Linked DNA regions of Tribolium castaneum. The main gene of each other region encodes a partner of the protein of the gene in region 2 in a complex. Links are inferred from orthologs where the notes say so. Each region holds a gene or a part of one and is shown on either strand. Other genes may lie near its edges.

Region 1 (7,923 bases), on a different chromosome or scaffold from region 2:
TTTTTTGACTCAATAATCATTATTACTTTTTTATTTATTTGCCATACCTACATTTAAGTAATTTAGTTTAGTTTTGGCTTATATTTTTCTTTATAAAATCTGAAACGGGGCCCTGCAGCTTTGGAGCAATTCGACACTGGACTTCATCTCATGTTTATCTTATTAAGTGTTTAAAGAAATAACCAAAACTTTTTGTGAAATTTAAATTGTGGCGAGAATTATTAAAATTAAGTGATGTTAGCAAGTTTTTTTGACGTGGAAACCACACGAGTCAATTTAAAACATAGTACGTTCGTGAAAAAGTGTGAGTATTCAGTTTGTATGAATTTTCCAGCTGCTAAGCGCCATCCGCCGAACCAACAACGTTGATTCTGATAAAATGCGTTTGCCGAAAGACGTGGTCGTTCGGCACACAGAAAGTCACCTGTTTGCTAAAAGTAAAATGCATGAAGTATCCTGCAGACTAGTATATTAGAACAAATAGCGAGATAGAACAAAGTGCAAGTTAGGCCTAAGATAAAAACTCTTACTAATCTATGAGTTTGCAGGACCATTTATATCTTAAAATCGATTGAATATATGCCACATGAACTTAACGAAAACGACTTTACAACTCAAGTCCAGTGCGATGTTTTAACGGAAAGCGCTGAAAGAGTTACTTAATGTGCTCAAATACTCTATTTATTTTTTAATGACAAATAAAAGCACGTTGTGTAATCTTTCAGATGTTTCTTCTTTTAATTGACTAAAAATAGTTTTTTTTATTATTTCAAAGACTGATCATGTTGTATAACCGTTTTAAATGCAAAAACGAGCCGTTTTTGTAAATTTGGTATTGGTAATTGGCGATAAATGTATTGTTTTTAAAGACACTTTCAATTCTAGAAATTGACCAAATCTAGTCATATCGTGTTTCTAAAAAAACAAACATTTTTCAAATTTCATTGTTATACGTTTTAGAAAACATGCAACATGAGTCTGTAAAATTATTTATTTATTTGCGCGACTAGAGGTGTTCGTGTGGATAATTCGACTTTGTATAATATAATTAAAAATGATGTAATGAAGGAGACTCTACACTGTTAGCTGTGATCTACAATATGGATGTCTTATCATTAAACAAAGGTCTATTGATTAATTTATAAATACTCACGATTACCTTTTGGTCAAATTGATTTGGTGTAAATTTAATCAGCTATTGTGTGCTTGCAAAAAGTTAAACTTGAACAAAAATGTATGGTACAAGAATTCAATTAACTTTCCATCCCAGTTTTTATGTAAAAATAAAAATCAAAAATATCATCCACGATTGTTTTGTTACCATTCTAGGTAGATTTGTCGCGTTATATGTATATTTTATGCCACATGAAACTATTTCGTTTGTAAATTGTATAATGACGTTTGTTTTTAATATTGTACAGTGATTTTTTATTAAGTAGTTGACTGAACTATTAAATAAAGCATATGTGTTAATTTAGTTATGTTGCATCAGTGAATTGACTAGCTTAGATACGATTAATTTATTTTTAGTTAAGTGAGTTTTTAGTGATAAAAGAATGGAATTAGCAGGGAGGATGATCTCATCTTGTCTGAATAGCATAAAATAGCAATAGAAAAGTGTACATTGACATGCTTTTATTTTCATCCGTTCACGATGCAACATTCATAGAGTACCTATTTATAAGTAGAATGTAAAAGAATAATGAATATCAATTATATCATATAATTTATGTTAAAATAGGTTTCACAAATTCTTGCCATGATGAATCCTAGCCTAGACTGAAATTATAAATATTGCTTTGTTACGTAATGAGAGTAGAGTATATGAAGTGTTTTAGTTGTAAAGGATGTAGTTACACACACTTTAGGGGTTAAAACTGCAATTCTGTAACGAAGTCTGTTATATTTTTACCGAAAGTGCTCATGCTGTTATCAAATTAGGTGACGTAACTTTGGGAAATGCTTTTGACGATGAGAGCGATTTTAACAAAATCATTTCTTATTCACAAAATTACGATTTGTTGAAAATTTCCTTCACAGTCATATTCACCTTATAAGTAGGGATTTTTTTCAGAATCATGTAAATAAATGTAGAAAAGTGCCTATTTTAAATTGCGCATCGCTACCCTCTTGGTCAACTATTAGAGTAATCTCAAATTATTTAATGTTTTAACTGTTGTTATAATTTGGTTTATAATTGAATAAAGCTGCATTTTTACAGTTTGCCCGCATTTCCTTCAACACACAAAAACATTTCAAACAAATTTATTCAACTACTATGTTACAAAGTAAACTATCATAGCGTGAAACACAGTAAGAGGACCGCAAATCCCAGACGCTCATACTGATTCATGATTATTGCAGCAACGCCAAAACGAAAAGCCGCTTTCATAACTCTTGCATTCCAAAACATTATTATCAGACGCAGCCAAGTTGAGGAAGGTCTTGTCACACTTGTCTCAAACGCTGGTGCATTCACCGGCTTGTCGTTTTTTCCACCACTTTTATGAAACACTCCATATTTGTCGATGTAATAACTGATTCGCCCTTCGGGGGCCATTCTGAATACTGTTTCCACCTTTTTTTTTTTTTTCAAAGAGTATCCTTACATTTGATTGTTATGTATACACTCACAACTTCTTTTTTTACTTCACTTTGGGACACTGGGTGGAGCTACCACCAGAAACAGCTTCCAAAGCATTCGAAAAAAACATTTTTTATTGCATTCCATTCGCAAGAAAGTGAGGTTAAAAATTTGACAACTTGCCACTAAAGTAGCTACCGCGCAAGCTACCGAAATACTTAATAACAGAATATGCCATAAAATTCGACAAATACAAAAAGGTGGCCACAATCTATATGTATTTGATAACATTAAACCAGCTACACCCAAAATACACTAATTAATTAAAAAACAGTCATTAAATTAATACTTTTCGATCATAAAAGCCCTCGTCAAAAATCACGGTCTGTACGTAATATCTAATAATGTCTGCGTATGAAATTTTCAAGATTATTAATTTTTATGAATAATAAGATCTTACGAAATTATTTAGACAAGTGTGCTTGAAACATTACATAATCTTACACTGATTGTGGTTGACTTTCTTTAAAAATCAGGCAAAACTTCTGCATAGTTTGTCCAGGTTTGACACTTTGACAGTTGACAAATATAAACAACGTTCAAGCTTGTTATAACGATAATTCTTGTGTGCGAATTTCTACTTCAAGAATGTTTATTCAGTGATACTATTAGTCACTTTCCTGGCAAGGTTCTTGTATTTGATTTTTGGACGTTCGGGCCAACATAACCTCAAAATGAGTTCAATTGAAGAACGTTTACAAATAAAGCGTGAACCGCTGGATAAATGGTCAATCCGTGAACAGTTGGCTCTAGCAGTGGCTCGTAACATGGACCAGAATTTAACAAGTGTGAGCCGAGCTTTAAAACCCTTTGGTGAACCCAACAGACCCCCTGATTGGTTCCACCAGAAGAACTGTGCAGCCCAGTATGGGGCTCTTTTAGCGAATGTTGAAACACCTAAGAGGAAGAAAAGAACGTCTGGGGGCGAAGTCACTATCGAAACCCCCGCCGAAGTCATTCTACGCAAACTTTTGGCCGAGAGACAAGCTGAGCTCAAGAGACTACTAGCGGAAGAAAAAGCAGAATATCAGAAATTGCAGAGAGATAAAGCTCTGCTTCAGTCAGGTATTCACAATTAAATTAAAGTTGTTTGAAGTTACAGGGGCTATATTAGAGCCTCTCAAACTTAAGACTGTTGCGGAAATTCGGTTAAGTATTTTTTGATAATTAATTGTTTTATTTAAAGGTAACGTAAGTGAAGAACAACTGGATATTTGGTGTAAGGAAATAGATGAAGAGGAACACAGGAAGGAACAAGAAGCCCTGGCACACGAACAGTGGCTAAAGGAGAGGGAGTTACGAAAACAGGAAATAGAAAGAGCGTGGAGACCAGTTAAGCCATCCCCGGTGATTGGTCAAAAACGTAAAAATTCCGAAGCTATGGACACAATCCCAGAGATGGAAAATACAACAGAAGAACAGAAAATCCTAGTGCAGGAGCCCCCTAAACCGGCCCTATCGCCACTTCTGACAAGTCTTCTGAAATCACCATCACAAGTTCCAAACGTTACAACTTCCTCAATATTGCATTCAGCGATTACCAACCAACGGCCAACCAACACAACTACTAGCCCCATGATTGCCAGTCTTTTAAGCTCCTCAACTGGAGAAACAGTTTCTCCAGGATTGCAACTTTTGGTTAGTACAGCTATAGGACAAGAGCCAACCGGAGAAGAAACCCAACAACAGAATGTCAATACTAACGATATCCTCGATGATGCCAATCTACAAATTTTGAAAATTGATGACTTGGCGAGCAGTATCTTGATCCAGAATGGCCCACTTCCAGAAATAAAGAATGACGTTGATGTTATCATCTCCGATTTGATTGAGAACGCGCAGGATATAGTTGCAGATCCGGAACAGCATCTACAACTGGATGGAAACGGTGATCTTAATCTAAATTTGGAACTGGAAGATTTCGAAGAGAGTGAAACTGATATGAAGGACGAAACCAAAGAAACAGAAAAACGGACGGAAACTACAACACCGGCAATAGATCCGTTTGAGTTCCAAGAAGATCCGGAAGTTTTTGAACCCGCTAAACCTGCAACAGCCGTGAAAACAGACGCTTCTAAAACTATGGTAGCACAGGACAGCGACGATCGGTCACAAACTACTGACGAAGCCCCAAATTCAGACAATAAACACTTAACTTCAAATGGCGAAGAATCTCGGGATGAACTGGTAGAAGTAAAAAACGAACCAACTGATGATTCCGATAAGAAAGATAAAAGCACAACTCCTGGATCCGTCGAAATTGTAGAAGTTGTAGTTATGGATGATGAGGATACTGACAAGGAAGTCAATAAAACTGAAGATCCAGCCCATTCCGTTAAAGCGGAACCAAAGAAAGAAACAGCAGGGGAAAGTACAGAAGTTGCGGAAATAAAATCAGAAACAGACGCCAAAGTTTCAGAAAATGAAAAATCTAGTGTAGAGATTGAGAAGAAAGACGAAAGGAAACTGGACGAGTCAACCACATTGACTTCCGACTATAACGAGGAATTGTACGACGATATCAATATGGAAGTGAAAGTGGACAAGACCGGGAAAGCAAAGCGCGATTATTCCAGGACGAAGAAGAAGGACGATAAAGAATTTGATGTTCTCTTGGCCATTGAAAAGGCGCAAAGAGACGAAAGTGAGTTGGTTGAAGAGAGTTTCTCTGACCGGGATTACAGCGAACTGGACCGTAAAGACAGCAAATCGCGGATTAAGAGCGAGAATGAAAGATCTAACAGTCCCTGGACGGAGGAGGAAGATGTGTCTACAATACGGACAAGGAGGCGACTTTCAACTCCTGCGACTCCGATTGATTCAGTTCCAGGATCACCAGTTTCCAGTATATATTTTTACGATGATGATCGGGAGTATCGCAATTGGAAGAAGTCTATAATGCTTGTGTATAGTAGATTGGCTGCAAATAAATACGCGTCACTGTTTTCTAAACCGATCACCGATGACCAAGCTCCAGGGTATCACAGTGTGGTGTATAGACCCATGGATTTGTTGACGATTAGAAAGAATATAGAGAATGGGGCTATAAGAACAACGCAGGAGTTTCAAAGAGACGTCCTTCTTATGCTTAATAATGCAATTATGTATAATAAAACAAATGATACGGTTTATAATATGGCGAGACAAATGCAACAAGAGTCGATGCAACAAATACAGATTTTGTTGCAAGCGCAATCGCAGGATTTGCCTGTTAGGAGGGAAACTAGGACTAGTGAGCCAGGGTGTAAGAGGAAGAGGGGTAATGAGGAGAATTCCAGGAGTAAGAAAAGGAAGGATGATTAGCATTACGTTTTGCGGTATTCGGATAAGCTGTTTGATTTTAGTGATTTTTTCTAGTATTAGTTTTATTCATATTGAAATAAATATGAACAATTTTATGCTCGTATTGTTAGAATTTTCGAATACAAATACTGATGTACAGTTCTTTGTAGCTCGTGATCAAATACATTAATATCCGTGTTTAATAAATGTAAGCATATCTACTTAGGATTTCTTATGTAAGCATCGTTGTGTAAATATTTTTATATTATGTAATATAAAATACCTATAACTTGTCGATTTCTGTTACATCATTGAAGACATGTGTAATAAATAAAATTTATTTTGATGTACAAATGATGTTAAAAACAGTATTTCAAAATTAAATTTGTATCAAGATTTCTGAATAAATGTTTTTTGGTAAAGCCTGTTTTAATTACCCTTAACATTACCAAAAATTTCGAAGTTTTAATTAATATAAAATATATGATAAGATAAGCCCTGCCAGGTGCTTGCATACGTATGAAAAAAATCATATCTGTGTTATAGGTCATCTCAATTATCCCTTTTTTTTTGAAAAACGACTCATACCAAAGCTATGAATTTTGTGCGTTTTTTTTAAGTTTCGCTAATCAGGACTTCCGAATTACCGGAAAGTCTAAATCAAGCACAATCAGCTTTGAAAAATCTGTGAAGCAAGTTTCTTCAGCATGGTTTCTTATACTAATTACTTTTATCTTTAACCATATTACCACGAAAGACTAAAAAAGGCTCTGTTTATTAATGAAAGATTTTTTTTTAATTCCGACTGCTTTGCTTGGAACAGCGCGACCTCTTCATTTGCAAAAAGTAAAAAATATTTTTTATAGACCGAAACGTTTATTATGACTTCAAAAATCTCAATTATAAAATTTAATGTGATTGTTAATTTTTTGTTCATACCAAGTACTGCAATTTTAATTTAATAAATACAATTAGGACGCACTAAAGACACTTTTTCTAATTGGAGCACTTTGCATATTTTATACTTTTACGTCGTAATGAATGATATTTTAGTTTAAAAAGCCCCAACTTCTATATAAAAGCAACTGACGGCTTCTAACAAAAGGTTCCCTTCACGAATTTTCGGCCAGATTTTTCGTTAAAAATGAAGCTGTTTGTGATTAATTTTATTTTGATGTCGTTAGTGTATATGAGTTTTGGTGCCAGTGTTCCTTATGAAACCGTCGATATCGATAAATTACTCGCCGATGATAAAATGGTAACCGAATACATGGCTTGTCTAAGAGGAGAGGGACCGTGTAATCCTGCGGAAAAAGATTTAGAAGGTGCGCACTCTTACTTATTGTGATATTTTTTTCCAAACAAATTTTGGTTTCTAGAACACATTCCATTAGTTCTCGGCAATTACTGCGCTGACTGTAATGACAAGCAGAAGAATTTTGTTATTAAATTGGCAACGTTCGTTATAAAAAACCGATTTGATGAATGGAGACAAGTCCAGAAGCGTTTTGATCCTGACTTGAGCCACGCCGATGATTTTAACAAATTTATTCTTGGAAGCTAATCATTTCTGAATTGCGAGAACCGATAAATAAATAATATTGTTGACTACTGCTTTAGCAAGGTGGAAGTAATCTGCTTTAAACCTTTGTAGCTTTTGCTTTTTTCATGCATAAAAATAAATAAACATGTTATGATGCTACTCAGTTTATTCATTCATTTAACAAAATCCTTAACTGCAAAATTTATTTTGTCACACAACTTACACGCAACTAATTGAGACTAGTCTATTTATTACAAAAGAAATAATGCTTTATTATTTCGTTCCCTACGCGTATACTGACCCAATACCTATTTCTTATAGTTTTTATAAGAAAGGGCTTTTACCCTAAGGTAGCTTGAGCAAAGTGAATAGGCATTACAATTTTTTTATTTTAAGTGTTAAATCATTTTTGTTAAAATTGAATTGTTTTTTGTTTCGCTTTATTGCAGCTAGA
Region 2 (7,733 bases):
ATCACACTGTTTATTTTCTTCAGAACTGTTGTTTTCTTCTGTTATTTTTTCTCTGCTGCCGGCCGCTGTTATCCCAGCTGAGAACATGCTGGGGGTTTTCATTCGATTGAAACTGTGGCTGTAAAAAGTGGATTCTGTTGCACTTTCAAAACTCTCATCGTCGTCATTTTCGCACTCCATCACGCTCGGTTTTTCAGTGATTGATATTTTCGTTGCTTTCGCATCAGGATCACTGTACGTAGTTGTGGCAGCAATGAGTTTTTCTTCGGTTGATTCTCGTGTAAAGGTAGGGTTTAGCACCGAATATCGATCGTCATTAATTTCATTTTTCACATCAACTTTTTTAACGACTCGAGCACTGCTTGTTTTTTCCACCACTTTTGGCGGAGTTTGCACTTGAACGTCTTGTGTGGAACAACCGCAGCATTTATTTTCCGTTGATTTTCCGTTTTCCTTAATGGCTTCAACGTTTTTCTTCAATTTGGCGTGGAGTTCGTCCTTGTTTTTGGGGCCGAGGTCGAAACTTAACGAATTTTGCTTATTGGAAAAACTGACTTTTCGTTCGCCAGACTCTCGTTCGTCTTCTTCTTGTGATGTTAGGGCGGTGACGCCGCCAGGAACTTTTTCTATTAACTGACTGACTTTTTTCTGTAACTCGCAATTGCTCTTCTTGTACGCTCGCAAAAGACTGTCTTTTATCTCAACGAAAGGTTCGTCGTTATTCACTGAAGCACTGTCTTGCACTTTGGCTAGTTCTTCTTTCAGACGGACGATTTCTTGTTGTAGTGTCGTTATTTGCTTATTGTAGCTCGTTTTGATGCTTTCTATAGCGTCCGAGTCCACTTGAGTGGCGCCGTTATTGGTCGATATTCGGTCAACAAGAGATTCCAAAAGTTCGTAATGCGCCCGCATAAATTTTTCAACATTCTTCATTTTTTGCATGAAGCTACAGCGCGAACTGTAGCCAGGACACCGATCTTTACACAGAACATACTCATCACATCTGTAAATACGATAAAAATAAAAACAATAATAACTTATGTAACGTTTACTGTTCTTTCCATTTCGATAAATCGCCCTTCAGTTCCTTGAGCTCTTTTTCCTTCTGTTTGATCGGGCTTGCCCGCAACTTTTTGACCTGTTCAGACGCCAGGCAAAACTTGTACCGAAAATCTTCAGTCTCCTTCAAATTTTGTTTATACGACTCTTCCAATTTTTTTACATGCTGTTTGAGCATCTTAATAATTACGTCTTTGTTGGCGATGGTTTTTTCCGCTTCTTTTAGTTTCAAATCCCGCTTGTCGCTTGTCGTAACATTTTCGTACTTTTCAAGACACTTACTGGACTCGCTATTGGTGTCTGTCATGTTCGGAAGCGAAAAATGTGTGCATATTGTTCGGTAAATACGAATAAATTTACAAGTCGTTCTTTAATTTTTTCCACGATTGGTCATTACTGTCATTTTGGACGTTTCCGCTATCAAGTGTCTAAATTCGCATCAAAATGAAGAAGAAAAGTAAAAAAGTGTTCAGGCCTTGTAAAATTCCCAGATATTTGATTGGGTCGGTTAGTCCCCAAGTCATTAAAACAGACTTGGCAGAATATAACGCACACAGATATAAGGTAAAAGCAGAAGCTTCAGGCTTGGTTTACTCCCGTTAGGTTTTTTCAGCGAAACCGAAAACTGATACCAAACCCCTCCCCATGAATCCGTTCAATTATATCAACCTTCGAAAGTTACGGGCAGACGCTGAGCGGTTACAAATGATTGATAAGGAGAATAAGCAGCTCCTTAAGTCCATAAATACGATAAATAGGACCATCGTAAGATTTTGATTTTAATTGTCTTGAAGTGAATTTTTAACGTAGGGAAAAATTGATTCGTATAATCCTGAAGCCTATGCGTCTAAATCGAAATGGCACGCTCACGTTATGAGGATGAAGAGAATTGACCGCAAAAATAAAGCAATATACGAGAAACTGATGGCTGCAGTAAGCCCAAAAAATTAGTTTCTTTATTTAACAGTTAACAGACTTCCAGTTACGATTGTGAGTCGTTACGTAAATTCTGGACCAGTATTATTGAAAAATTGAAACTAACTTCCAAATTCCCTTTGGTCATCCTTCAGAAAGTCTCAGTCGATTCAGTTATTGCAAAACAGCCGTCAATTAGTTGCGGACTTGAGAAATTATCAGAACGGCCCCGGTATAATTAAAAAAATCAAACAATGACTTAATTAATTGACCCCGAAGGTGTTTTTTGGAATTTCAAGTGCTAAATGGCCCAGTTCTGGGCCGCGTAGAGATCGAGCTTTATCACGACCACGTCCCTGTCACAGTCCAGAATTTCTTATCAATTTGCTGCGGTGAGAACAAACAGAACCTTTCGTATAAAAACTGCCCAATCAATCGAATAGTTCCGGGCCGTTTTTTGGAAACTGGGGACATAACTAAAGGGACAGGACGTGGTGGGGTGTCAATCTATGGTAAATACTTTGCAGAGGAAGGCCACATGCTTAAGCACACGAAACCTGGTACAAAACCCGAATTTAGTTTACGAAAAATTCCTGAGTGTTGTTTCAGGAGTTTTGTCCATGGTGCGTGTCCGCAAACACGATAACAACTCGCGCTTTTGTATCACCTTCACGAAAATGGAACAGTTGGATATGCAGAACGTTGTGTTCGGTTATATTGTGCGAGGGGCTGAGAATTTGTTTAAAATTGAGGGGTATGGCCGCAGTATCGGCAAGCCTTTAGCCCCTGTAATCATCTCGGACTGTGGGAAATTGAATCGGGCGCTTGAGTGTTAGTGGTTTTCGGGGCGTCATGTTGTCGTTTGGAATTAAAAATGGCAGTTTCCTTCCATCAAATTGTGTGAAGTTTGCAGTTTCGGGTTTATATCAGGAAATAAAGTCGTAATTAAACACGTATTTACTTTATTATTTATTATTCCGTACCACATTAATACAGCAAAATGTTGTATCTGGAAGATTACTTGGAAAGTAAGTAAATCAGTTACTTTGGCGTGGCATTGACGGAAACGCCAATTGTCAATGTGGCGCTCAATTCGAATTTTTAGTGATCGAGCACCTACCTCAGGAATTACGGGACAGGTTTACAGAAATGCGAGAGTTAGACTTAACAGTGCAAAGTAAGAGTTTGATAGTTAGAGTTGATTAAATAAATTATTAATTGTAGATAACATGGATGAGTTAGAAAAGCGGGTGAAAATTTTTTTCAATGATTGTAAGCGCTATCCCGGTGAATTACCGCCTGCCATTCAAGTCGAGTTCGAAGCTGTGAAAAAAGAGTACAAAAAGACGCTCGAGGACGCAGATGAGAAGGTAGTTGTGGGGTTGTGTGACCACTTAATGATAATTTGAATCAAAGGTGCACCTCGCTAATCAAATGTTTGAACTAGTTGATAAATACCTGCGCCGGCTTGACACAGAACTACATAAATTTAAATGCGAACTAGAGGCAGACAATAAGGGCATAACTGAAGTTCTAGAAAAGCGGTCACTGGAGTTAGACACTCCAGTTAATTCAACAAATTCATCCCAACAACAAAAAGAAAATAGATACGAAAGGTGGTTTTCATTTATGGGAACGTAATCTTTGTTAGTGCTAATGTAGTTCTAGCAGCTTTAGATATCGACAAAGAAGCGAAAAAAGACGGGATAGTAGTAACTCTTTGCAGACCTCATTTGCCGAAAAAAGACAAGCTGTTGCCCCCATACCTCTCGTCGAGACCCGGCATAGTTCAATAGGCCAATCAACGCCCCCAGCTCAGTCTAACGTTACTTATAATTTGGGGCACATAGGCGCGGGGCCTGCCATTGCGGCTGCGGCCTCACAGGCCATCGCTGCCACTCAACAGGTAAAAAATCACTAATTTTATACCATTTTTCGCCTAGAAAATTGTCAAAAATAATCCATTCAATCAGTGGTGGCTGTTAGGACACGAGCCGGGGCGAGTGTCGTATTAATAGCCATTGAGTGCGACCTACATACACTATTTTTTCTACGACCTTGATATTTTATACTATACTGTTTGATCAGATGCAACAAGGCAGGAGGACAGCAAGTCTTAAGGCCTCGTATGAGGCGATAAATACAGGAAGCCATGGTCATGAGTTTAGTATCGGGCGCGAGTTGGCTGGGGCGGCGCAAACGGCCATTCAAGCCATCCAACAGGACCATGCCAATAACAAGAAGAAGCAAAAGTAACGATTTTTCCCATTTTTTTTGGTTAAATTTAATTTTGAATTATAGGAAATGGTCAGGTGGTAGTGCTAGCGCACCTTCGGCGTCAACAACAGTTCAACAAATATTAAATGCTCCGCTTGCTAGTGCCGCCCCTGAATCACCGTCAATAGATGTGTCTTCACAAAGCGCGGAAGTAACAGATGGGGAGTGGACTTATGACCCCAACGAGCCTAGATATTGTCTCTGTAATCAGGTTTCTTACGGAGATATGGTCGCTTGTGATAATGAAGACGTAGGTTCTGTGAAATGTTTCTGGGTGTGTTTTATTATTGTTGTTTTAGTGTCCAACTGAATGGTTTCATTACCCATGTGTTGGTATTACTGCACCGCCAAAAGGCAAGTGGTATTGTCCACAGTGTTTAGCGTCAATGAAACGTAGAGGGAGCCGAAAAAATTGAATGTGTTGATAGAGAGTTTAAAAAGGCTTGTAACAATTTCTCGGAGGCGGGAGAAAAGAATCAGAAATGAGTGAGCTTGTGCAGGAGAAAATGTTAGGGAAATTCGAGATTATTTAATCTGTTTTTTCCACAGAAACGGAATAGTTGTAAAAATAAAAGTATTCAACTGTCATTGTGTTTTTATTGTGATTAATGATTTCCTATTTAATATTAAGATCTTGTGTAATTATGAAAATGTAATATTTATGTATGCTCAACTTTTTACTCTTAAATAGTATTGTAAACCGATTTATTACGCTTATAAATTATAAAACTTGAACAAGAACAGAGTTTTATTTGACACATTTCCTACCCTATCCTTTTTAAGACGTTTAATTAACTTTACTGGACATTGATAACTGAATAAACTAATCACACAGATAATAAGTACATATAAGCAAGGATCAAAATCTGAATTCCAGTCTAATGTAAAACAAAATAAAGCAACAAGAGCGTAAACACATTAGATATTATAATTTTGATACATGAAAATTAATGGAATCGGTAGTTTAACCCACTTGAAAAGGGAACCAGCTCAATATTCGAATTTTACGGTAAATAATTTAAATATTACATTGCGAAATATGTATGTACATTTCCATGCACAGCGACCATTTGCACCGAGTTTTACACACATTACCTAATATTTCCTTGTAAAAATAATAATTAATTAAAAACGCACCTAAAATCTAATGAAGGTAACGAGTAGTAACGAAAATATCAGCCTGAATGCAAGCGAAATTGCATGCCGTGAAACGGTCGGATTTGTAAAAACCCTCCACCTTCACTCACGCGTACCATTTTTCCGAGTCACCGAAAGCCATGCAATTAATCAGCAAAGTCATAGGGTCAATAAATCGTGAGTTGTGAAACGAAGGTCAGAAATTTCATTTTCGAATTCGATAAAAAATTCAAATCATGCTCGTTGTTGCAAGGAAAAAATTACGACATTCCAATGCGAGCTAGTTTTGCCGTTGCAATGTCAGGGTTTTCACATTGCATTGATGGACTACGATAACAAATCAACAATGGGGCAAAAGTAAAGAACTTTGTACATCGGTCAGATTTGATGCAATTAGTGCATCGATATTAAATTTTGCAATACGGAAGTATGAACGGCTGAAATGCGCATATTGTCTGCAAATGCAGCTCCGAAGAATGGAGAAAAATGCGTCCGTGCGAAATAATACCGACGGATTTTCACAGCGAGCATCAGCGAGATAAAATTGTTTATTGATGGGAAATGCGAATGAATGCTCGAAAGCCCAGTTTTATTAAATGTAGCAACAATTATTAAGAAATTTTCCGTCTTGCTTCATCGGAAAAATCTAAGCAAAAATTGGAAATTGGCCGATCATTCTGTTGTATAAGCGGACGCATATCTTCACGATTTTAATACATGATTTAGAAAATGCTAACGTGAAACAGGTATCACTATTTGTGTTACATAATAAGGATTTAGATCCATGTTTATTGGAAACGCACCAAACTAGTCATTACCGCCTACGTGTGTATAAAGCTTCCGTTGCCGTCTCACAAGAAAGTGCATCAAGTAAAATTCTGAAATAATTTATGGGAACTCTTACTCATTAGTTACCTTAAAGGAATTTCGCTAAAGTTCGAGTCATAATCTACAGGAAATTCAAATTCTTCGAAGAAAAACGTCTTTACTGTAATGAGAACTTTCCCTTACTTCTCCAAAACGGAAGCAATTTGCATCCGCTTTAGAAAGAAAATAAATTAGTCATTTGTTTCCCCGTGATTGAAAATATTTTCTTATCAGTTGACATCGCATCAATACTTCAAGCAAAGGTTAATAGTAAATTGGGTTACTTCTCCATGTATTGCCCACGCCCTATAATGCAAACTTTCTCAAACCAATGACACCGCATTTTTAATTATAGAATACGGCTTTAAATTTTGCACCAATTTGTAAATTAGCTGCCGCATATTCGGTTTGTAATTACTCAAACTAATAGAGATGTTCAATTACAGAATCCGACCGTATTTTGCTAAATAAACAATCACGTGAAAGCACCGCTAAACGAGCGGAAACAGCCGAGCCGAAATATGCAAATATATGAAAAAAATGTAATTGCAATTAGTAAAATAGCACGCGAATAGTTTTTATCAATTTTCAGCTGCACTGAGCGCCGTGCATATTGCACCAATATTATGAAACTCCAATTAAAAAACACTATTGCTGCTTGTCTACAAAAAGATCATTTTTCCCTATTTATCCCTGCCCGTGCCGGTGATCCCCCCATTATGCTTTTCGAGTGGCACCAAGTCAAATCGTGCTTTGAGCCCGCTGAACATGGGTGTTTCTGATTTTTTATTTGTGTGTTTATTGAGTGCATTACCAGGTATGTTGGATTTTTTCCAGTTTGGTTGAGATTTGTTCTTCCGGCTTCCGCGAGACATTTCAGGCGGATTAGTGATTGCACTTTAGTTTTGCATTTTTTACGAAACGTGAATGTCGGAATTTTAGGCCCTCCCTCTGTTTCAATTAACGATGCCATCGTCCAGCTCTACCCCATCAATAAACACAAATGTCACAAAATTGATCCGATTAGGGACATCGCGTTCCAGCTCTATACCGTGTAAGTAGCAAAAAATTTGACACGGTGTTGGATTTTGCAAAAATAACCGGAATTGTTTAGTTTAATTATTGAACTTCAGCAAGCCCCGCTCAAGGTCAGGTTTTAATAAAGCTTACGCTAGATATTAAATAATCCAGTGAACGAAAGCTCTTTCATTGCCATTTCTTCAATAAAAATACACTTGTGTGTTTACAATTTAGTAGTTGGCGGTTAATAATTACGTCGTTACGTTCAGTATTGTGCAAACTGTATCTTTCTTGGCATTTTAAATTCGCATTTTAATCGATTGATTAATCATCAAAAATTTTATTTCCTAATGACAATTATAGTGAATGCATGCCAGGTGACGACTTTCTATTCACTTACTAAACTAGAAAATTTATTTTCGTAATCCCTGGCCGATCAATTTGAGATAATAACTAGC
Region 3 (7,355 bases), about 7.9 Mb from region 2:
GTGCCTTTCGTTAATTCACTAATGATATGTCTGTCTTTGTTGCATCTGACATCTTCATTCATCATCATCATCAATCATCATCTTTTCTTAGAATTCTACCCCTTTATGTAATAAAATGAATGTTGGACGAGCTGCTAGATGAAATTAAAACACCATAACTGGGACAATGACGGGAAATAAATATGGAAAAATAAATTGAAACTTGAAAAGATTCAATTGATGAATTTTCGACATGGCTAGGCGCATGCGCGCGCACTTTTTAAATTGTCATTTGACATTTTAAGAAAATCTAACAAAAAAAGACGAAAAGTCGGTGAAAACTGTCTCAAGTTATTCATCAGTGCGAAAGATCATGGACTAGGTAAATGTTTTAAAAACGGCGATGTTTTTTTGCAGTATTGTATCAGTGACTAAGTACACCACATGAATTAGTTAATGATCAAAAATGCAACTAATAAAAGCTGGGAAAGAAAGATAGACAAAACAAAATACCTACACAAGAAAGAGTTTCTTAGCCTTAGGTTAATACGTTTTCTTTGTCATTTATCACACTTATTTCTACTTCAATAAAACACACATTTAGTAAACACCTTTTATTGTTATCAACAAGAAAAAAGTAAACGAGTGACAAAATGGCGAAACAATAAAATTACCTAATAGTTCACACCAAAAAACGAGATTTTCTTTATCACAATCTACAAGAGAGGAATAATAATAATTCCAACTTGCGCGTCAACACAGTACTCTATTAGAGACTATTACAAACCCAGTGAAACTAAATATCACAAACTCAAAAACAAGACTTTGTTATTTCTCAATTATCACCTTGCTTTTGTGCGTTGTCTAATACAGGTACAGCTGTCACCCCCTACACAAATTTCGAAAATTAACAAACCTATCAATGATTTAAAATCCATTGGCTAACGCGCGACAGTTTGGACAAGTTTTGTTCATATCAAGCCAGGTTTTGACACACCTGAAGTGAAACAAATGTTTGCACGGCAGAGAAATAGCAGAAGAAGGGGATTCCCGTGGCAGAGAGACGGCAGAACTTTGAACAGACTCCATGCAAATTGAACAGGTGTCAATTTTCGCCCCCTTCCTCTTGCGGGTGCTTAAAACATCTATTTGAGCACGAAAGTACAAAAATAAGGGTGGTAATACCTGGAGTCGTCACTTGTTGGATATTGGAGTTCAGGAGGGTTGTAAATGTTGTAAGTCTGGGGGGTTTCGTAAAAATACGCTTCTCTGTTTTTGTAAAAATGGTAAGCGAGGACGCCAACACCCACGATGGCCATGGCAAAGAAGGAAAATCCTTGGAAAACCATCCTGGCACTAAAATTCCCAACAAACTTACAAACCCAATTTTGACTTATTTAATTACGGTCAAAGTGTCTTTAGGGTGCAGGCTAGTTGTTTGATGTCTGCTTGCTTCACAACCACTTACGAATATCTTACATATTGAGTGTAAAGCTGATAAACAGGGTTTTGTTATTGTCAGAAATAACTGTCAACAATATTACATAACCTAACAACTTTCTTTCTCTGAAATCGGAATATTCGCGGTTACAGTAATTTTTCACTTTATTTTTACAAAACTTATTGGCTGGGATTAGTAATACACAACAAAAAATGGTTCAAAAAACTTTATTTTTGACCTGTACATTTTCCTTTCATTCAAATTACAAGAAAAAATGAAAAACTATATTCTACAAGAAACAATGAGACAAATAAATTAATATTCTAGTCATTCTACAATTCTACATACAGTTTAGGAAACAATAAATGTTAAAATTCGGTTAACATCCTGAAAGGCACAAAATTGTACATATTGCTCATAATAATTGTCATGATTTCAGTTGTTTTAATTAATCAAAGGTTATTTAAAAAAATAGGAAAAAAGCATGAGTGTAGCTGTAATGCTGTTCCTAATGCTAATAAACCTAGGATATGTTGAGATTTGTTAGCTGAGAAAAATTACTGTATCTTAGTTTATGCACATTTGCGACAAACTGGACAACTTCTGTTTTCTTTGAACCATCTTGTGATACACTGATCATGAAATTTATGTTTGCATGGTAAAATAATGCCACCATCACCTTCAGGCAATGGTTCACAACATATCACACATTCCGGAACCGAGTTTCTTCTTTTTTTTCTGTAAAAAGGTGTTTTTGTACGTTGCAGTTACATAATAAGTTACTCACTTGTTCTTTCCTGTATCTGCTGTATCTGGTGTTCTTTCCTGTACCCTCGGTGTGTACACATATGTATACTTATTGTCGCTCTGGTGACAAGAAGCTGTGTTGTTTCTAGCAGTGTAGACTTCATATATGGCCAACCCAATTGCAAAAACCATCGCAGTCATAAGAACTATGCCTTGAACTCCCATCTTTGTTTTCTCTTTTTGTAACGGAAATGTGGCTGGCTATTGTAACAATTACCTACCTTTGCAACAGCAACGTCAGCAGCAGCTGAAGACGACTTATTGATAATTCTGTAATTCCCCTCGATTTATCAGGACCACCAACAAAAAGACGAGAAATAACTCATTTTCACCCTTTTGGTGGGGTTATTGCGGAGGAAAAAATGAGATCAATTCTAAAAATATTCCCACACGCACGTATTTATTCCATTCATTCATTGTAAAGTGCCAAAATCTTTTTTTACCAAAATACGAAAGGACTCGAACGCTTGTTGCAGTGACATATGAAACTTAGCTATTGGTACTTACTGATAATTCTATGGTATCTAGCAAAATACTAACCTTAAAATTTCGCAGTTTGACAGATGGTGTTTAGTGCTTGTGTTTTTTATTTAATTAGGAAAAATATTAAATAAAAACCATTTACTTTGTAATAAAACTTATCATTGGTTTGTTGTCCCTGTCCCAGGCGAGAAATTCGTTACAATGGCAAAAAGAGAAAAACGGGCAAATGCCGGTAACCGTATGGCAAAATTGTTAGATGAAGAAGAAGAATGTCAAGACGAATTCTACAAAACCAATTATGGTGGTTTTGAAGAAACCGAATCCGATAGGGAATACGAGTACTCACTTCTGATTCATTTTGTTCCGTTTTGTTATGGTTTAATTGCAGGGAGGAGGAAGAAGGCGAAGATGTGGTAGATTCCGACTTTAGTATTGACGAAAATGACGAACCTATTTCAGACAATGAGGAGGAGGGTCAGAAGAAGAAACGAAGATTAGTTACAAAGGCTTACAAGGTAATGCACGATTATGACGTTCGATTTTTTGTTAATTTTTATCTGAAACATTGTAGGAACCAGTGCCTGCACCCAGTAAACAAAAAGCAAAACCAAAACCCACAAAACCTGTCCCTAAAGTCAGAACAACCCAACATGAATCCACAGAATACGGTTTGAAAATAACGAGTTAGTTAATAATATTTGGCAACAAACGTGTTACAGAAAGAAAGTCAATCAGGAAGTCCACAGCTGCAAAATCAGCCGCAACAGCACAACGCATCAAAGTACGAAATCTCGAACAAAAGAAAAAAATCAAGAAACCGAAAGAAGAAGAATGGGTGCCAACACAGGAAGAGTTACTCGAAGAAGCAAAAACGACCGAATTGGAGAACTTGAAGTCACTTGAAAAGTACCAAAAGATGGAAAGTGAGAAGAAAACGAAACGAACTGTGAAAAAAGTCATCAATGGCCCTGTTATCCAATACAGATCAACACGAATGCCAATCATTGAGGAAATCAATCAAGATAAAGACATCAAGAACGAATCAGAAAACGTGTGCGAACGCACGTTTATCTCAGTGCTTAATGACCCTAACGATGCCACATTTAACAGCATTTTTGAAAAAAAGACAGCGCGTCCGCTTCCACGACGTCTCAGATGCATTGTCACAGGGTAAAAATAGCTATTTATATGTGCAGGGGCAATTCTTGCTCCCGTCACGTGTACAGGGTGAGTCATTGATATGACATACACCGTCAGTGGTATCGTATTCTAAAATTCTTTGTCCGATAATACAGTCTTCCATTTTTACAGTGCAGTCTAAACATAATTTTTTTAAATGTCAGGGGTTATTTTTTTATTTTTCTACAATTTAATCTGCAGGCATATTACAGTGACTCACCCTGTATATATTTTTTTCGCCTAATTTGGAGGTGCAATGTGCACAGTATGTCTTTCCTGTCTAGGGAGGAAAAGACATAGTTTGCACTTTTGAATTAGGGAGCAAAATATTTTCTAAAAAGCGACGCATTTTTTTATTTTTATTTATTTTGTGTTTTCAGTCACCTTGCAAAGTACGTTGACCCTAAAACGTGTCTGCCTTACCACAGCAGCATGTGTTTGAAGATAATTCGTTCTGCTTATTACCAACAACTGGAAGCTCATGGAGATAAGAGTAATCCAGTAGTTGCAAACTGGCTTAAGTGGTACGTTAAGAATAAGGATAAGTTAAGGAGGGAGTTGGCGTTGAAAGTAAAAACACATCAGGTGGATCACAGTTGATTTATTTTGCTCTATTTAATAAATTTTTATAATACAGTTTCTATTTCTTTCAAATAAAACTGTTTTGGTCTGAGATCAACACGATTAAATGTTAGTGAATGAGTTTGCAACAAATTTGGACGAATGAAAAGCGTCGAAAACGTTTAGTTAATATATTTATTAAACTGGTGCACAAATAATACATTACCATAATCTCAGTAGCCAATAATTTGGCTGAAAATTGGCTTATGAAGTACAACAAGAATTAATAACATTAAATATTATTAATATGACACATAAATTACATCTAGTTTAACATATCATATAAAATTAATAGGTATTTGATAAGCTACCTCATTAATTAATGCCATTATTACTTTGTTAAAATAATTTTAGCACTTGAGTATGAACAGTGTATATCAAAAGAGTAGTTCGATTAACAATGCGAATTTGTTAATAGATTACTGTTTTAATATACAATTCGTTAAAACTCTGAGAAAACGAAATTAATCTCTAATCTAAGTACAACATAATGTAAATATTTATAATAGTTAAAAAATCTTTAAAGTACTCTCAGCAAAACAATTTCATGTCCGAAAACAATTTTCAATAAAACATTCTCTACAAATTGCACATGTCTGATAGTAACACTATTGCACGAAAAAAGGTAAAGATTCTCGTTACAACAAAATGAGTATGATTCTAGATTTGATATTTATTGCTTACTTTGGACGGAAAAAAATGAGATAATCCGCACGTATTGCTTAAATAAATTTGAGAAACTAAAAAATTAACAATAAATAATATAAAACACCGCGCTGATACTTTTTAAAAATTAAAAGTAAATAGAGCCCTCCTTCAACGTTTGAAACTAATTTCCAAAAGTATAAAAATGAATCGATTATTATTGTCCTACATAATATCAATTTGTTCGACCTTTGCATAAATAACATCTACATCTTTAAGTAACTTAAACATACCTACCTTACATTGCAATTTTTTCACAAACTGATCAAATCGAAAACAGGAAAATTCAGTAAGTACAGTTCAACTAAGTTTAGATTCAATTAAAAGTGCCACACCTAACAGAATTTTCCTAATTCTCTATCTATTTTACATGTGCACGATTAACATTATTGGCACGCAAAAAGTTTGTACTTTACAGAAAAATTGTAACAAGTATTAGTAAAACTGGATATTGACAATATCCACAATCTCTCAGGTATGTGTAAAAAAGAGCAAGCAAAACTCTACGGACAGATCTGGTTTGAGATTCTTTCGAAAACAACTGATTGAGATTCCGTGTAATTTTGCTCGGGACGTAACAAACACACTTACAATGTTATTGCTTCCAAAGATTACGTTTCCTTTCTTTAGTACACAATGCACGATGACGGAGTGAAAAAAATGTTAGTGATGTAATGTTAGACGTACCGCTACCTCAGATGGTCCGGTGTTTCCGTTAGTGGAGTGGCGCAGGTGACAGGTTAGCACTCCAAGCCTACAGGCCGGGCAACCAGGTTAACAAGAAAAGAAAAGAAAACAGTTTGTTAGTATTGTATCATAGCTATACCACGGGCACAATTCAATACAATTTATCCCAGTGTCACTCATGCTTGGTTCAGTGTGATTAGAGGCTTCACCTCATGCGTTAAGGCCTGTGACACTGGCATAACATTGAGCAATTTATACATACACATAAAATACTGATTTAACCTAGCAGCAAGTGTTCGATAGACTATATTAAAGTGCTCGAAGAGATTCGGTGCTAGAAGAATTTCTCTGTGTATGTACCGCAATTAATTAGAAGGCATTGTTGTTATTAAACTGTACAAAAGGTTAATTTGCAAATAACATTTTAATATAGTGCTATGAACACAGTCACACGTTATCATCAACCATACATTAGTTTACTTGGCCATGTGGAATTAGAAGTAGTTATGAAATCTTGTGGAGAAGTGTTAATGCATTATTAGAAGTTAATAAATAATAAAACTTTGATAATTCCACTGCTCGAAGGGTAATAAAAAAACTGATCGATTTTTATATAAATATATTTTGTTCCACATTGGCGCAAGTCAACAACATAAACATACAAAAAATATAATATGCTATTTATAAACGTATATGTATAAAACTACTTAAACATATTCATGGAGCGCGAAGCGACAGCTCCGCGTACTAACAATAAGACATACGTAAAAATGAAACTGAAACTGATTTTGACACCGGGAAGAAGGTGGTTTGAAATTTTCGACTAGTTATTCACTGAGGTACAAGTGGTAACCCAAAAGGCCTCCTTCCCCAAATTTGCAACTGAACGTATGTAGTGTCACAACCCGCATGAAATTCACTCAATACTGACGATATCATCGAATAAAATAAAAACAATAAGCTGACGAGGTGAAATACTACAATAGATACATCATAACTCCACACTGAGACACACATGACTGGCAAACATCTGAAAGAAATAGAAAACAAAACGTAACTAACCTTTTAGGTTTATGACAGAGCACCAGCTCTTTGGTAAGGATGCTCCCTTATTTGCCCCAAATGCCTGCGCTGTTTCGCAGCTACTGCCGCTGCACCTATACAAATCAGCATTTAAAGTACATGAAATTAAAGCAGTCTCCTGAAAGGTGACGGAGTCGATGCTAACACCAAATCAACAACATCTATAACGCAGCTCATGAACACAACGCGATTAAATGCCTCAACGATTATTATAGATGCAGCTGTGATTTTGATGCAGTCACTCTCTAACATAAATATAAAAAATTCTAACACTACTTTGTAGCTACTAAAACAATTAAAGCACTGAACGAGTTTTGTTGTTACGAACGTAACAGAAATAAATAAATAAATTGTTCATTTTCGGATACTT
Region 4 (7,829 bases), on a different chromosome or scaffold from region 2:
ACAATGTGATGTTTTTTATTAAAATATTTACAATAAACAAGTTTTCTAATAACATATTTATTTTTAACTTATCACAGAAACCTTATCACACAAAACGTTGGGATTTCGATGTTCACAAATTGGACACTCGTATTTCGAATCCGCGGTCTGATTACCCTAAAAAGAATTTAATAAGACCTGGCGATTTTTAGAAAAACTGCGGGTGCTGTACAATTTTTATTAATTGCCGTATTTTAAAAATAAAAAATTAAGTATCTAAATGGCTTTTAATGTGGTATAAACTGATGTTTTTATTTTATTTTTCCAAATGTCATGATATATCTTGGACTACATTTAACTTTCTTATTTTAAATTGAAACCAATATTTTTTTTTTGTAATTTGGAAGGCACATTAAATTTTTTTGGTACAAACAAGTGCAATGTGTTCTACTTTTATCAAAAAAATGGAAAAATTGTCAAAGTTGGAAAAGAATATAAAAGTTAATAAAATCTAGTTGTTTGGTATCAAATAAGAAATGTCAATGTTATTATTTCAAAAAGCAGCAAATAGAAGAAAATATTGACAATATTTTAAATTAAAATAATTCATTTTAAAGAAAAAGTACTTGGAACAAGATTATTTTTAACGTCAATATCTTTTATGACACCATGCAACTAGATTTTTTTTTCAACTAAGTATTGTTTTTAAACAATTTTTAGTAAAAGTAAAATATAACACATTCTTAAAAGACTAGCTAATTTATTATATTCATAACCATACCAATTTAAAATAAAAAGTTGAATATAACCCAACAAATTCTATGACAGAAAAATTTAAAAGCATCTGCTTATACTAGATTAAAAGCGATTTAGTTTAGTTTTTTAACTTTTAAAATCGACACATAAATAAAAATTCTACAGCGCCTGCCGTTTTTGAACAATCACCCTGTATAAACTTCATTCTTTTTTAATACTTGTCAAAGCGTTGTCATGTTGGTATGAGCCACCTTCACCTACCAGTTTTTTTTATATAAAATTTGTTTACACCTGTTAAGCTTTTATATCCCATATTAGTTCCTAGTAGAATTTTGCAACAACGCAATTGCATTTTTTTTGAGTAAAATGGAACACAAATTGAGTTTCTGGTGGGTTTTCTTGGCTCAAAATTTGTCGTTAGGATTCAGTTTAACACAGATTTTTTTATACAGAAACTCTCAATTTAACTCAATTTCACTCCAAAAAATTCAAATCGCTGTTGCAATTCTATTATGAACTGAAATGGGATATAGCTAATATAATTTCTAGTTTCAATGAGAGATTTAATAATTAATAACACTATTCGACATTTTTATAAAAAAAAATCGTTTAAAATGCAAAATGCGACGTTCGCATTTCTATAGTTTTGAAACAGCTAATATGCAAATCTGAAAATTTTTACAAATCTTTAGTTTTTTTGTACTTAGTGTAAATGGTCGGTTGGGTTATGCAGACCATAAAATTTTAAGTCGTTAATCTACAAAATAACTCGGTGCATTGTACGTGTTGTAATTAATGTAAAACAACTTGAAATTTGGACAGATTTTTAAATTGAATTTGACAGTTAAAAAATTACGCCAACCTTAATTCAAAATATTAATGTTTTCGCTAATGCCAACCCGACGGCTCTTTGACATTTGAATTTGACTACAAAAAAATATGGACTATACCTTTAAACACACGTAACAAAATACATGGGCACATCCCATATGATGAGGCAAAATAGGATTTTCCCCACAATGTGCACACTTGGAATGCATGGTCATGGTACGCGAATTGAGGACAACATAAGTAGGTTTTTTGTGGAATGGATTAAAGTGCCTCATTGTTCTCTTAATTTTGTGGTAATTAATTAGTGGGATTATATGAATAAGAACATCCTGGAAAAGTACTTGATGCACCAACAAGCGATTAATCATTGCACCAATTTTTCCGTTCATTGTTCTTGATTCGTTAAAAAAAGTAAAATATTCCAAAATTGCACAGTTGATTGCCTAATCTCAGACAAATAATACAGGATGTTTCACATAATTTTACGCGACCTGCGCCTCTAAAATGCCACCTACAACACATATTCCGATATACGAACTCGATTACAAATTTTGAAAAACTGGATTGTTTTTTCTTGTTTGTTCACTCCTTCAAAAAATTACGTTTTTAGTCAATTAGTGATTAAGATAAACAGATTACTGTCACGGGTTTCCACAAAATAAATAATCAAATGTGAATTTTTTGTATCTAGTGTTTTGTGACTCTTGAATATTTGGGTGCGTATGTATACATTTGGCGCAGGCCTCGTAAAGTTATGTGAGACACCCTGTATAATTATAATTACTATGGTTATCTAAACAATCAACGGAAAAATAAATTAAATTGAAAGAATTCTTACGATAAATCCATTCCAAAGTAATTCTCTAGATAAATATTTCGCTTCAAAATGCCTTGGAGCAGTTTTGGTTGAGTACTCTTGGTTCAAACCCAAACACCTTTCTATCAATAACGGTTTAACCCCACGTCGTAGAAATATGGACATATTGATAAAATTCAATAAAACTAAAACCATGTGTATCTTAAACATAAACGTGTTAACCTTATGCGAGGGCTTCCAGAACTCGAGACGATGTTTAACGTAATCAAAACAGTTCCCAAACAAGTAAAGAATTTTCTTGAAATTCGACATGTTGCTGTACTTTATTGATAAAAGTTGTTGCCCAAAAGTGCTCTCATTGCGACAGACTGAATTTTTCAGAAGCGCTAAACGCACAATTAGGCCCAACTCAGGTTCAATGGGGGCTATATAACCAGGCTAAAATTACACTTTCAGGCAACCAAACCTTAACAAGGGGGCACTTACGGGTAAGAAACGGCTAGTCTCGTGAAGAATTCGCATAAGGGCTTTGTAGATTTCATTATCAAGGAAAATTGCGTTCATTTGGGTGACTCTCAGTAACTTATCGTTGGACATTTTGCACAAGTTTTAGACAAATTGAGCGTTTGGAATGTTGATTTATTGCAACTATTTGTATTTTTGGCACTATTTGTTGTTTTTTAATTATTTCATAATGATCATAACCTCAGAATTTGTGGAACTTTTCGGGTTGTTATGTTGGCAGCGACGTCACGGGTGACGTATTTGACATTTGGCGAAACGTCAAGTTGTGAGGTGTTTTGTTGGAAATAAACAATTTTTAGTGTAATTACTTGAGGCACTTAGCATAAAACAACGACTTTACAAGTGTAACGTTTCCTTTTATCGTTTTGTGATAATAAGAACAATATGTCGGCCAAAAACAATGTTTCGGTGGATGCCCGCCAAGAGTTAGCAGAACTTGTTAAAAGAAAAGCAGAAATTGCGGTAAGAGTTACTTTATAAATGTTGAAGCTTTGTATTAAGAAATGTTTTTCTGTTTGGCTTAAATTCGCGGTCTTTAACCAATTATAGGAGACGTTAGCAAATCTCGAGCGCCAAATTTACGCGTTTGAAGGTTCCTATTTAGAAGACACTCAGTTGTATGGAAATATAATTCGAGGCTGGGATCGGTATTTATCGAGTAACAAAACAACAAACTCTAAGGCTGATAAAAGAAATAGGAAATTTAAAGAAGCCGAACGTCTGTTTTCTAAATCGTCCATAACCTCAATGGCTGTGAGTTGGGACGAGTTTTGTGTATTTTTTTTGTATTTTAATGAACGTTTTACAGGCGGTTAGTGGAATTGTTGACCAAAATCAGGAGAAAAGTAAGAATAGTTATGAAATAAAAAATCATTCATACGTCTAGTTTTTTTTGTATTCGTTTTGTAGCTTTTTTGTAGTGTTTGTGGTAGTTTTGCTGTGAACTTTCTTCTAGATAGATGTTTTCTCTAGTTTGGTCACTGCCTCTTATATGCACTGGAAAAATGAGAGACATTCCAATAGCTCTGTAAATGTTTTACTCTAAAATTATTCAAATTTTGCAAGCAATGAAACAAAATATTACAATAATTTAGAGTTTATTTTCATTGCTTACAACTCCCACAGGGAGTAAATTGGGAGGCATATTGAACATTTTACATTTAGTTTTACTTATTTATTTGTTTTGTTGTTAGTTGTGTCATAAACCCTACAAAAACAATTCACCAACAGTAAAACTTCTATAATCCGAACGAATTCTATTGCAGCAGGTTCTTCGGATTATCGAATTAACTTTTTTCTCTTACTTTAATTGAATAAAAAAAAATAAGTATTTTTATTTAAAAAATTTCATAGGGACATATACCGAGTAGAACAAACAAATATTTTTTTTACTTATTTATTTTATTGTTATTATTTATCATAAACCTCTAATAAATTCGGACTGATATTTTTTGAATTAACTATTCTCTTATTATTAAAACGAATAAAAAGAAACATTTTTTTTAACTTAGAGTGATCCTGTTAAGAGAATTGTAATTTTATATAAAAACTGTTGTTTGCATTGCAACACTTCGTTCAACAGAAAGTTAATTGACAGGTATTTTATTATTACTAATATTATTATTATCACAAAAGATCATAGAGGAGTCCCTGTCGGGACTATTTTGCTTAAAATTAAAATAAAAATAGTGGTGGTAAATACGGTATTTCAATTCCACCCAAAAAGGTTGTCAGTTCTTGATTTAAATCGCAAGATGTTAGGTGCATTTTTTATGACCATTTTATGTAAAACGAACACTAGGACAATCAAATGTTTATATTTTTATTTATATTTCTATTGTTTAGTTTTTCATAAACCATGCCAAAATAATATACAGTAAAATTTTTATAATGCGCACTAATTACTATTGCAAGAGGTTTTTAGAATTACCAAATTAACTTTTTCCTCTTAATTAAAATGATTAAATAAGCAAAAGTAAGTATTTGTATTAAAAGAAAAACAAATATACCTAGTGAGCCTGTTAAAAGCATGTTTCAATTTTATATGTATAACAGGCAGTTACGTTTAGAGACATTTTGAACATATTATTTAAAATTTAAATTTGATTAAAAAAATCAAGTTTCTATTTTTTAATTTTAGTTGTTTTAATGTTATTGTTTGTTTTATCATAAACTATATAAAAATACACTAAAACCTATTATAATTCGAAATACTTACTATTGCAAGAGGTTCTCCAATCGGATGATCGAATTACATTTTTTGTCTTCATTAAAATGAAATAAACAAAATACTCGTAAGTATTTTTATTAAAAAAACAATCAGAGAATTACATATTTTAATCACTATACAAAAATGTTGTAAACGTTGTTCATCTGGAAGTAAATTGAAAGACATTTTGAACATTTTGAGGAACAACGAATAAAAATATTTTTTACTTCTTTAATTGTATATTTTATCGTTAATTATGTCTGCAAGAACATTACACAGTAAAACCATTTTAGTCAGAATTACTATTACAAGGGGTTTTTCTATGTAACTACAGTAGCGAGGGGTGCTTCTTTTAGTGAGTTTTTCTCAATATTTCAGAAACCATTACAGATAATATTACAATATTTGATACAGTTAATAATCTTTATATTCCCAATCGAATTCGAGAATCTAATGTAATAAGAGCTGTCAGGTTGGCATTATCATAAATAGTATTTTTTTTTAATTAAGGTTGGTGTAATTTTTTACCTAGAAAATTCAATTTCCAAATTTTTCAAGTTGTCTCCAATTTACAAGACGTACAACAACACATTTAGTTATTTTAGACCACCTTTAGAGTAACGAATTAACGATTAACACTAACGTCCAATTTTCAAAAATGTCAAATCTGGTGTTCAAACTGTCAAATACAGAATACAGCCAGTTTCTAAAGTGGTTGAACATGAACTTTTAGGGTGTTACAGTCTTTATCAGAATTTTGACACTGACAGTTGATTATACAAAAAAATTAACTATAGAAATTTTGAGCAGGGGCGTTCCAAACTGGAGGGAAGTAGGGTAAAAAATATCCTAACTATGTGGATTTAGTTTTGTAACACATGGGCTTTAAATAAATTCTGTACTAGTTCAGGATTAGTTCTAAAAATCGTTTTTGTTTGAGTTTCAGAATTTGCAAAATAATATTGCATTGAAATTGAAATTGAGGTGTATACGTACAGTGTCATTCTGCTAAAAGTATTTTCTTCCTGTGTCTCAAAACTCAATAATTACACAGAGAATTTTTCGGCAGTTCTTTATACATAATTTAAATTAATTAATATTAAGTCACTGACGAAAAAATTCTAATGATATTCTTTCTGAAGGGAACCATTAATAATAAAAAAATTGTTTCTAGCCACCAAAAAATAAAATTATTGTGTTGTTCATATTTTCCAACATTTTTAATTGTAATCAAACTGTAATTAAGATTGAACTTGTGATTTACTTTGCCAAGATTAACTTAATCGATGATTATTTTTTTTATCTATTTTTGCACAAAAATTTTTTCATTGGCTTAATTAAACTTTATTTTAAAAATTTATAGGAAAATTCCGAAAAAAAAATGCGTAGAAAGATTTAATTGATAGCAAACGCTCATCTTTATGATTTTAGCTTTAAAAATATACTTTTTTAGACTAACCCTGTAGAAACATCGAAAATTATGAATTTAATATAAAGTTGAAAAAAGAGTAAATTTCTAATGCCCCAGTGTTTTTTATATTAAAAAATAATTAAAAATGAAAATTGAGTTTTAAGTTAAGGGTAAATAGGTCATAAATACCTAATTTTTAGTAGCGTTTGACGCCTGTCATATTTGAATTTAGTGTACGTTATTCTAATTAAGTCAGAAAAAATTCCCATGCTGTAACTTGATGACTATAAATGGAAAATATTTACATAATAACAGTGGGGCAAAAATGCGGAAGTAATCCGTAAATTAATTATGGCCCCAGCAATTTAAAAACCATTGATGTCAACATAATTTTTCTAATGAACGCTTTTTAGAAATTAATTGTGTCGGAAAATTTGCTTGTTTACCGTGGAATCTCTCTCATTTTTAAAGTTACTTTTACTTTTTCATATTTTTTGTTTTTTTAATAATTGTATCCTGCCTCCTATTCACTTAATTAGCAACTAAAATTTTGTGATAGTCTATAAACGTTGTTTTTGGCGATGGAATGTAGACATTTTGTAATAACAGTCGCCAGAACAATCGGTCATTGTAACGCGTTTTGTAGTAATTAGTTTGGAAATACCTTAACAGAAAAATTTACAAGGCCACTGATCCGATCTACTTACATTGCACAAAATCGCCGCTTTTATTCATCGTTCATTTTTTCAGCCGAATGATTTGGCAATTAAATTGCTAAAACCGTCTAGTTTTTCTGTACAGGTATTACGTTCAAGCAGTTACTTTTTCAAGTAATTTTAGTTTTATTTTTTACTCGTAGTGGAGCCGCACAGCGATACTGAATCTCAAACTAATGGAGATTCTAGTGATACTAACTTAGGTCCTAATTCGAACCATATAGATTCTGGGATGAAAAATGCAGGAAAACACTCGACGAATTCCTTGAATGGTGTACAGAACGGGCTTGACCATCGAAATAGCCCCAATAGAGACGTTTCGGCCAAACAGAAAAGTTTCAGTGCAAGTGCTAAAAAAACTAATAATAAGAAAGCTAGACACAGATGACTTTTTGTGCTGTTTTCTCAACCTATTTGTGTGTGTTTACAGTTTTAAGGTTTTTCAATTGTGAGTTTGGAATCTAAGTACCTGCATATTGAAATTGTACACTTTTTACCGATGTAATTGTTTGGAACAATAAATAAAATTATTCAGCAATTAAATGATTTCCTTCATTCAAATAAGAAATAAGTACGGTAAGTGTA

What was found.
Region 1: Ing3 (region 2) and Brd8 share a complex: the UniProt entries of both Homo sapiens proteins name them as parts of the SWR1-like complex. The link is inferred for Tribolium castaneum from reciprocal best matches to the Homo sapiens genes ING3 and BRD8.
Region 3: Ing3 (region 2) and YL-1 share a complex: the UniProt entries of both Homo sapiens proteins name them as parts of the nuA4 histone acetyltransferase complex. The link is inferred for Tribolium castaneum from reciprocal best matches to the Homo sapiens genes ING3 and VPS72.
Region 4: Ing3 (region 2) and Eaf6 share a complex: the UniProt entries of both Homo sapiens proteins name them as parts of the nuA4 histone acetyltransferase complex. The link is inferred for Tribolium castaneum from reciprocal best matches to the Homo sapiens genes ING3 and MEAF6.

Annotation. Positions count from the first base shown.
Region 1 is NC_087396.1:10,838,818-10,846,740, forward strand, and holds Brd8 (bromodomain-containing protein 8), read left to right. Parts: upstream 1-2,917; 5' UTR 2,918-3,318; coding exon 3,319-3,709; intron 3,710-3,830; coding exon 3,831-5,947; 3' UTR 5,948-6,348; downstream 6,349-7,923. Other genes in the region: ejaculatory bulb-specific protein 3, read left to right, coding at 7,071-7,251, 7,306-7,490. UniProt on the Homo sapiens protein: May act as a coactivator during transcriptional activation by hormone-activated nuclear receptors (NR). Isoform 2 stimulates transcriptional activation by AR/DHTR, ESR1/NR3A1, RXRA/NR2B1 and THRB/ERBA2.
Region 2 is NC_087397.1:1,046,420-1,054,152, forward strand, and holds Ing3 (inhibitor of growth protein 3), read left to right. Parts: upstream 1-2,860; 5' UTR 2,861-2,974; coding exon 2,975-3,002; intron 3,003-3,079; coding exon 3,080-3,151; intron 3,152-3,198; coding exon 3,199-3,344; intron 3,345-3,390; coding exon 3,391-3,590; intron 3,591-3,636; coding exon 3,637-3,880; intron 3,881-4,062; coding exon 4,063-4,226; intron 4,227-4,275; coding exon 4,276-4,501; intron 4,502-4,550; coding exon 4,551-4,667; 3' UTR 4,668-4,992; downstream 4,993-7,733. Other genes in the region: CAP-Gly domain-containing linker protein 1-like, read right to left, coding at 1-1,003, 1,053-1,366; uncharacterized protein LOC103313454, read left to right, coding at 1,504-1,623, 1,663-1,824, 1,870-1,992, 2,034-2,206, 2,254-2,534, 2,584-2,810; inactive pancreatic lipase-related protein 1, read left to right, coding at 7,024-7,072, 7,198-7,309. UniProt on the Homo sapiens protein: Component of the NuA4 histone acetyltransferase (HAT) complex which is involved in transcriptional activation of select genes principally by acetylation of nucleosomal histones H4 and H2A.
Region 3 is NC_087397.1:8,920,877-8,928,231, forward strand, and holds YL-1 (vacuolar protein sorting-associated protein 72 homolog), read left to right. Parts: upstream 1-2,765; 5' UTR 2,766-2,911; coding exon 2,912-3,048; intron 3,049-3,098; coding exon 3,099-3,225; intron 3,226-3,281; coding exon 3,282-3,378; intron 3,379-3,429; coding exon 3,430-3,880; intron 3,881-4,269; coding exon 4,270-4,489; 3' UTR 4,490-4,525; downstream 4,526-7,355. Other genes in the region: how (held out wings), read right to left, coding at 6,974-7,059. UniProt on the Homo sapiens protein: Deposition-and-exchange histone chaperone specific for H2AZ1, specifically chaperones H2AZ1 and deposits it into nucleosomes.
Region 4 is NC_087398.1:15,237,196-15,245,024, forward strand, and holds Eaf6 (chromatin modification-related protein MEAF6), read left to right. Parts: upstream 1-3,151; 5' UTR 3,152-3,292; coding exon 3,293-3,370; intron 3,371-3,457; coding exon 3,458-3,661; intron 3,662-3,716; coding exon 3,717-3,753; intron 3,754-7,387; coding exon 7,388-7,632; 3' UTR 7,633-7,787; downstream 7,788-7,829. Other genes in the region: peroxisome biogenesis factor 2, read right to left, coding at 1,686-1,895, 2,405-2,821, 2,870-2,980.